Linked DNA regions of Drosophila melanogaster. The protein of the gene in region 1 interacts with the protein of each later gene in a biochemical or structural test. Each region holds a gene or a part of one and is shown in the gene's direction. Other genes may lie near its edges. The genes, in order: chinmo and Sox21a.

Evidence for each region.
Region 2: the proteins of chinmo (region 1) and Sox21a form a complex in vitro, tested with the Drosophila melanogaster proteins (one study listed by BioGRID).

The regions. Positions count from the first base shown.
Region 1 is NT_033779.5:1,649,558-1,653,485, forward strand, and holds the start of chinmo (chronologically inappropriate morphogenesis), read left to right. Parts: upstream 1-1,700; 5' UTR 1,701-2,155; intron 2,156-3,217; 5' UTR 3,218-3,928. UniProt on the Drosophila melanogaster protein: Required for morphological differentiation of postmitotic neurons during postembryonic brain development. Ensures production of appropriate neuron subtypes within a lineage by preventing precocious generation of late neuronal types of that lineage.
Region 2 is NT_037436.4:14,106,250-14,110,177, reverse strand, and holds the start of Sox21a (Sox21a), read left to right. Parts: upstream 1-2,059; 5' UTR 2,060-2,370; intron 2,371-3,019; 5' UTR 3,020-3,103; coding exon 3,104-3,636; intron 3,637-3,928.

The DNA.
Region 1 (3,928 bases):
CTAAGCAAAAAGTTGAGTGACGAAGAGCAGGGGAAGACGTAGGTCCAAAAAGTGCGTGCAGTACTGCAAAAGCAAATGGAGAGCCAAAAAGAGAAGCACAGGGGTGGATTTAGGAGGTGGAGTGAGGTTTATTGGCGCTCGACCGAAAAATGCACTGCATTTTTCGTTATGGAAAGGGTTTGATCTAGTGGTATTTTTATAAAATAAAAATATATGAAATTAATTTAAAATGCATCGAAAAAGAATTATTAAGGAACGCGTTCCGGAATAATTCCACTTCCGACTGGGGAAGCAAAAGCAGCAGCAAAAGCAGGAGCTTTTGCCTTTGCTTATTGGATTTTCGACGCCGGCACTCCACGTGTTTCTTGAATCGCGTAAATTGTTCGTTTTCCCTTACCACACCCCGCCCCTTTACCGACAAGCTTTCATTGTCATTGTGTGTGCATAAAATGGCAGCAGAGAGAGAGAGAGAGAGAGAGAATGGGAAAACATGCGCCAAAAAAAAGCTTACCGCTCTCTCCTCTCTTTCGCTCACTGCAAAACGAATGCGCATTGTTATTGTTTTTGGCAAGGCTGCACTGAAAAAAAAATACTGTTGCTAACGAACTGTCAATGAATAGAAATAAGGTAATTGTTTGATTCAACTTTATCAACTCTTTTTCCACTAAAATTAAGTGGTTATTGTTTGATTGGCTAGGAATTTGATATTTTTGATGGGAATTGCATTCAAAAAAGGGACTCCTGACACTTGTGTGAATAGGGGAAGTTTTTGGGCTGAGAAATGAAAAGCATTTTGAGGGTTTTTGTTCCAATTTTGATGGTTTGATCGGAAAGTTCTCAAGGGATATGCAAATTATGCGAGAACTGAGTAGTTAGGTTATTATTGTTTTCTTCCTAGAAATCAAAGACCAATTGTAAGAATTTTCTAAAGAATTCCAAAGAATTCCACTAAAAAAATTTTATCCTTTACTTTTGTTTTCTGAGAGTGATCAAGATTTTAAAGAAACGTAATGCGTTCTTTTGCATTAAAGCTATGCAATTAACATTTTTCCCATATTCCCATCTTAACTCATTGTGCCGATCTTAAAGTGGTTTTCCATATAAATCGCCTCTTGCGAACCCTATTTCTATTGCATCTAATATTCAGAGACCACCTGGATGGAATCCCCCGCTGTTCGAATAGGTTAAGACCAAGTTAAGGTTTGCTTTTGCTATTTCGGGACGAGATTTCCCTAAACATTTTCCACTTGAGCGGAGCTCCTATAAATTACCTCATGTCCTTTGCCTTATGCAATTGCGCCTGCAAAAGAGAGAGTGAGAGAAAGAGTGAGAGACTCACCCCCGGATTATGAGGATATATGTAATTTTTATCCTGGGGCGGCAGTGCATACACACAGAAAAAGACATGCAAAAAGCAGTTGCAACGACCATTACTTCTACTCGCCTGAGTAAATTGTGTTCTAAAAATCATTAAAAAAAAATATGTAAACTATTTTCTGTTATACTTTAGACTATTTTCGGTTATCCTTTTTAAGAATCCTTGTTGGAGATGTCCAATCTGACAATTGCAAGTTGCTCGCCTGCATTCCAATTGGATTAAAAGCTCGCTCGCTCGCTCGCGCTCTCTTTCTCTCTCTCTCTACGGAGCACACCACTGCACGCTTGTTCGTTCGCCGCCTGTTGGAATCGAAATCGAATCGGCAGTCAAAAAGAAACTGCCGTGTTGAACGGACGTGTTGAAGTTTCGCGGTTGCTTGTTTCGGTGGTGCTCGCAGCAGCAGCAGCGTTTGTGCATTCGCATTCGCAGTCGCAAATTCGCATCGCCTCGTCGCTCGTCAGCCCTGGCAACTGCAGGCAACTCAAGTTTTACACGTAAATTAAGAAACGAGGAAGCACGGACAGAATCGAAACCGCTTGATAAAACAGTTATTCTCTACATTTCTGAACTGAAAGAACTGCAGCGGATGAAGTGCAAAAAGCGAAAAGTGCTAAAAGTTTGCGGCATTGAACACTTTTAATTATTATTTACGTTTTGTTTGTGTTTCGTCGAGCAAAGCAAATGCACAAACTAACTGTCCAGTGTGCATGTGTGTGGCAAGAGTGCGTGAGTGCGTCGTGAGTGTTGCAAAACGGCTGTTCGCCTAGTAATTCAAAGGTAATTTTGAGTGAATATTGATCATATTGAAGTGCATGTGGTATGTTTCAAAGCTCAAATAAAGTGACATAAAATCAAAAATGAACAATTATGCGTGTGTACTTGGTTTTCTCGCACACATGAAATTCTGGCCTATGTGTGTGTGTGTGTGACTTTGCAACTCGAATTTCAAACGGTACAAAACGCAGCATAAAAAATGAAGCGAATAGCAAAAGCAAACTGAGAAAAAGTGAAGTATAGACTTTTATGCATAACCAAAACGTCTGCATTTTTAATCAAGCAACAACAATAGAAAAATAAGCAAAAGCAAACTACAACAACAACAGCGAGGAGTACATGGAACAATAAACAACCCTCCCCGTTTTCCGCCTCCCCCTGAAAATAAACAAGGCGCAATACCAGTGAACTGAACCCCTTTTTTGCACTGTGTGTTTATGTGTGTGTGTGTGTGTGTGTGTGCTACGAAATAGCAATTAAGGGAGAATAGAGGAAAGTGCATGAAGTGCAGGAAAGAAGGCAAAATGCAATTAATCCCCAGGACACTTGTTCAAAAAAGCGAGAGAAAAGTGTAGAATAACGGTGAACAAGTGTTGAACAACTACAGAAATACACTACAAAATGTGAAAACTTCTTAAAAATAGTTTTGAAGTAAATGTTCTTAAAACAATTAGACAATTCACTGCTCAAATAAAAATGTTTCCCCTTCCCCAAAATTTCCAAGTCCCAATGCCATATAAAGTGTTTTTGAGTAGAATAAAAGACATTTGCCAGAAGCAAAGTGGGAATTACGGTCCCAAAATGGGAAAATGAAATATATTCTGCGATAATAAAATCATTAATCCAATTCCACTTACAAGAAATCGGGCTGATAAGAAACCAGAAATTCTGGGCACAAATGAAATGAAATTTATTCGGGTGAACTGTGACAAATTAATATAATATTAAAAAGAAAATGAATACTTAAAACATGTCACATTATCCCCGAATAGATTTGAGTTTCAATCAGCCAAATTCCACTTACACTTTTTAATAACAATTTTCTAACCGCTTTTGTATTTGCAGCCAAATGTCAATGTGAAAATGTCTCAACGAGCAAATTTTAGGAAAGTCAAGAAAAACATTCAACGACCTCAAAACCAGCGAATGCTACAAAATGCGAATCAAGAACATTTAACCATCTAAATATTCAAAATCAATTTAATTGAATCAAATAACGCGAAATTGCAACAAATCAACCTAAAAATGAACTGAAAACAAAAACATTTCGAAAAACAACGCAAAATTCTAAAATTGGCAACATAAGTTTTGGTCTTGAATTAAATACAACAAAAATAAATTAACAAAAAACGATTTTTGGCAACAAAACATCATACATAAAATATACACAAATTGTAATTATCTCAAAACGTCCACACGTGAAAATGATTTGCAACTAAGATGACAATCTAATAAAATCAATGTAAATTTTTAACGCAACAAAAGGAAAACCAAAACCGTCAGCAAAAACCAGCCCAAAATCAGTTGAAAAGCCGAGGGAAATCTTTTTAGAACAAACGCAGAAAACCGCAAAAATTTAAGCCACCAAATTGGTAAACTATTCAAAATTATTGGTTCGGACATACGCAATACTAAACACAGCAACACAACAACAACAACAACAACAGCAACAACAGCAGCCATAGCAACTACTACAGTGATCACTACAGTAAAAGCAACCGCAACAGAAGCAGCAGATAAAACGTGTGTGTTAGTTTGCATAAAAATTTCGTTTCG
Region 2 (3,928 bases), on another chromosome or scaffold:
GCAGCCCCATTCCCCAAACTCCACTTCCCGTAGCATTGTCTACGCCATTGGTCCACAGTGTCTGAAATCGACATGCGCGCAGTTGCAGGGGTGCGAGGAGGGGTGGCAGTGGGCGTTGGGGGTGATTTAAGTGGGGGGTTGAGGTTTGGGGCAGCTCACACACACACACACACACATTTCTAGAGCGCTGCCATTTTTATTGTTGTGCGATGGTGAAGGGGGGAACCCGCCAAATGCGTTTCCTACTTAGCATTTGTTTTGGTGAAGAAGGATATGGGAGAGGGGCGAAAAGAGGGGTAAGTCGGGGAGTAGAGGGCAGAAACTCTACAAAAGTTACGACCATTTGAAGAGCGACGCTTGCGCAAAACAACCCCTTAGGAAGATATCTTTTTATGGCGCCAACAGTTGTTTTTTAAAAATGCCAAGGAATGCAGAGCAAAAATCCTTAATTGCTTTATTCCTTAACCTTTTCAAGGAACGCAATAAAATTAAAAAAAAAATTTAAAATAAAAAGCACTGCGACGATTCATTTATCTTTAAAATGTTGTTTTTGTTACTTTCTAGGTCAAATTAATTTGAAGATTTAGTATATACTGTGGAAATGTTGCTAATAGTCCCAATAATCGTTAAATATTATTGCAAAAGCATATTTAATTAAAATTAATTGTGATCGGGAAATTATTGTTCCGGATGTACTATACCTAGCATATTACACACTTTTCTATTGACATTACACTGTAAACACCGGGAAAATTGTCTAATTTCTTAGTATTCGTCAAGGGAGAAGCTCCGTTGGCGGAACATTGAAACCGTCAATTATAAAGAGCGGCATTTATAAGAAATTTTAGCAAATGTATAAAGGTGGTACTATTAAGGGATCAAGGGCTTCTAATCGTTGCAATTATACAGAAATCGTTATTGGTACAGCAACAACAAGAATTGAGAATTTCCTGTGTGTGACAAACAAGGAGAGCAATTGAAATAAGCGGCCCAACCCTGCCAACAAAAAGGGCCAATCTTGCGGATACCGAAGCTTGCAGCAAACATACCAAATAAGCCACCGATCGATTGTGAGAGCAAACACCGGTCTAATACACAGTAAGAAATTATAGTGCCATAACCATATAGTGTAGACCATGCATATAAGTAAGTATCCAATATTTGGTTAATTGTAGTATAAGATTCAAAAGCTAAAGTGTATTTTTCATTCGATTGATTGTTGCCACTCCGTTTTGTATTCCATTTAAATAAACTAATCAAGGCATTTTTTTGACATCTTAAAAATGGGTTCTCATTCCATAGTTAAGAAGAGCTATAAAGTAGTTTAACTATGCCTTTTATTTGGATCACAAATGCATAGAAGAAAAACAGAACTGAATAATAAAGTGTTTTATAAACGTACCAATTTATGATTTAATATTTTGTAAATAAATATAGCAGCGAAATTCTCAGAACTAGCCGGAATTTTCTTGAATTTTTCAAAGAAAACTATTTATATTTACAATAAAAATTGATATTGGTAGCTTAATATGAAATATGTTATTGGGCTATTCAAATTTTCAAAATTATTTTTGTGTTACGGTTTTGATAAAAAATGCAGATATCATCAACTGGCGAAGAGCAAAAGGAGCAATGTTTGGTAAACAAGAATGCAAACGTGCACACAAAACGAAAACAAACCCGGAGACTATTGTCAATAAGATACAAAACGCAGATACAAAGATACAAAGCAGCAGCAGCGAATTTTTATCACTTAGCCGCCACGTTGACGCGTCCTCCGAAGGTGTAAAAAACTCTACAAAATGTGCGCGCTCTCTCTCTCTCTCTCTCTCTCTTACTTGCGCGACCCTTCTCCCTTGCACTATCTCTCGCCTTGTCTCGCTCCCACTCGGTCCTTTTGGGCGGCAGCGACGCAGCAGCGACCAACCACTACAGAGACACCCTCATACTTACAAACACCCACGTTCTTCCTCTTGCCCCTTTTTGTTGCGTTTGTTTGCCGTTTTTGTCGCAAGTTTTCGAATGTGTTTTCAAATCTAAATTGTCGCGCACTCGAAACGGACGCGCTGCGCTCGGCTAACGGTGAATCGGCAGTCTAACGGTTTAAATACTTTCAACGTTCGTAAATTCGAGGCTCTATAAATCTCGAACTGTTTGGAAAATAAGTTAAAAATTCATATCAGTGCACTTGTGTATTTTTAGGAGTTCTAATGGCGATCAACAATAATTAACCTAGTAATATTAATAAACAAAAAGAACTCGATCGCAACGTAAACTCTTGTGCAATTAATTAGATAGTTAAGTGTCACGCATCGGATGGAATCCAAATTTAAACTTTATTAGGGAGAAATTAAAAGACAATTAATACAGGTAAGCTAATTATGATGATGAGAAAAGGTCCCTAGGTAAACAATTCGAATATTTAAATATGAAATGAAGAAAAAGCTGTGCTCTAAATTAAACTATTGCACACTCCTCCCCAAAAACTAAACACTTTAAAAAAGCGAAATAAGCGAACAAATATATTTTCTTAAAAAAGAAACCAAAAGATTTATAAGGATATGAAATATATAATGAATTTTATGAATATTTGCAATTTTCAATGTTAGAAAAGCCTGTTTTAAAAAATATATCATTTTCCAATCCAATCTTTAATTAATTCATCATTTGAAATCGAATTTGGCAGTACTGTTAATATGCAAATATACGTTCTTCAAGGAATATATTTTGGATAATATTAATTTAAGGGAAATCCCCAATTTTGCAAATACTCAATACTGAAAACTGATTTGAATTACTGGTAAATATTTAAATTGGTTTGTCATAAAACCGGGACACCATTTTGAGCCCCCTGTACACACACATTAGAAGGGGTAAATGGAGTTCCATTGTGCATATTTTTGGTAAGCTATTCGCAGTGCGAAGAGCTCCAATCAAATGACTCATGCAGGGAGCAGCAGACAGAGTCCCCAAGCTAACAAGGCATATCTATTGAATACCATTTCCGTTGGCATTTCAGAGCTCGAGGAGCAGCTGCAGCACTACCACCTGATAATTACCACCTGCACCCCCATTGGAGTCCCTTGACTCCGCGCCCGGCATCATGACGAGCATCTCGGCCCTGCTCCATCGGAGCCACAGCCACAGCAATGGTTACACGAGCAGCGGGAGTAGCAATCACAGCCATAGCAGCAGTCTCTCACCGCAGTTGCCCGGCATCAATTTGGGTTTGGGCATGGTCGGTGGCTTGGGCATGGGTATGAGTGTGGGAGTAGGCTCTGGATCGGGAAACACCACCCCACCACCGATGCCGCCAGCTGACCTCGCCGTTCCGCCAGCGGCCCCCACTCCGGTGGCACCCAAAATGCACCAGCACACGCACCACCATGGCAACTCCCACCATAATGCCCCGACCAGCCACTCGAATTCGAATACTGGAAGCCATCACAACAGCCACGACCACATTAAGCGACCAATGAACGCTTTCATGGTCTGGTCGCGGGGGCAGCGTCGCAAAATGGCCCAGGACAATCCAAAAATGCACAATTCTGAAATATCAAAACGCCTGGGCGCCGAGTGGAAATTACTCACCGAAGGACAGAAGCGTCCATTCATCGACGAGGCAAAACGATTGCGGTAAGTATTGTTCACTGGGGTCTGGTTAAAAAGCACTGAGAAAATATGTATGTACTAAATTTGTAAACAGAAATAAGAGTATTTTCTTACCTGGAAAAGTCCTTACCTTTCAATTCAAAAGTTAATTTTCCAAGTCTATTATTAATAGGGTTTATTAGGGCGAAGTTATATTTAAAAAAAATAAAAAGATATGGATCCCATTGATGTTAAAAATCACAGATTATCATATTGCAGTAATCCTATATTAATTTAAACTAGGAAAAACATAGTTCTTGTATTTTTTGTAGTTACC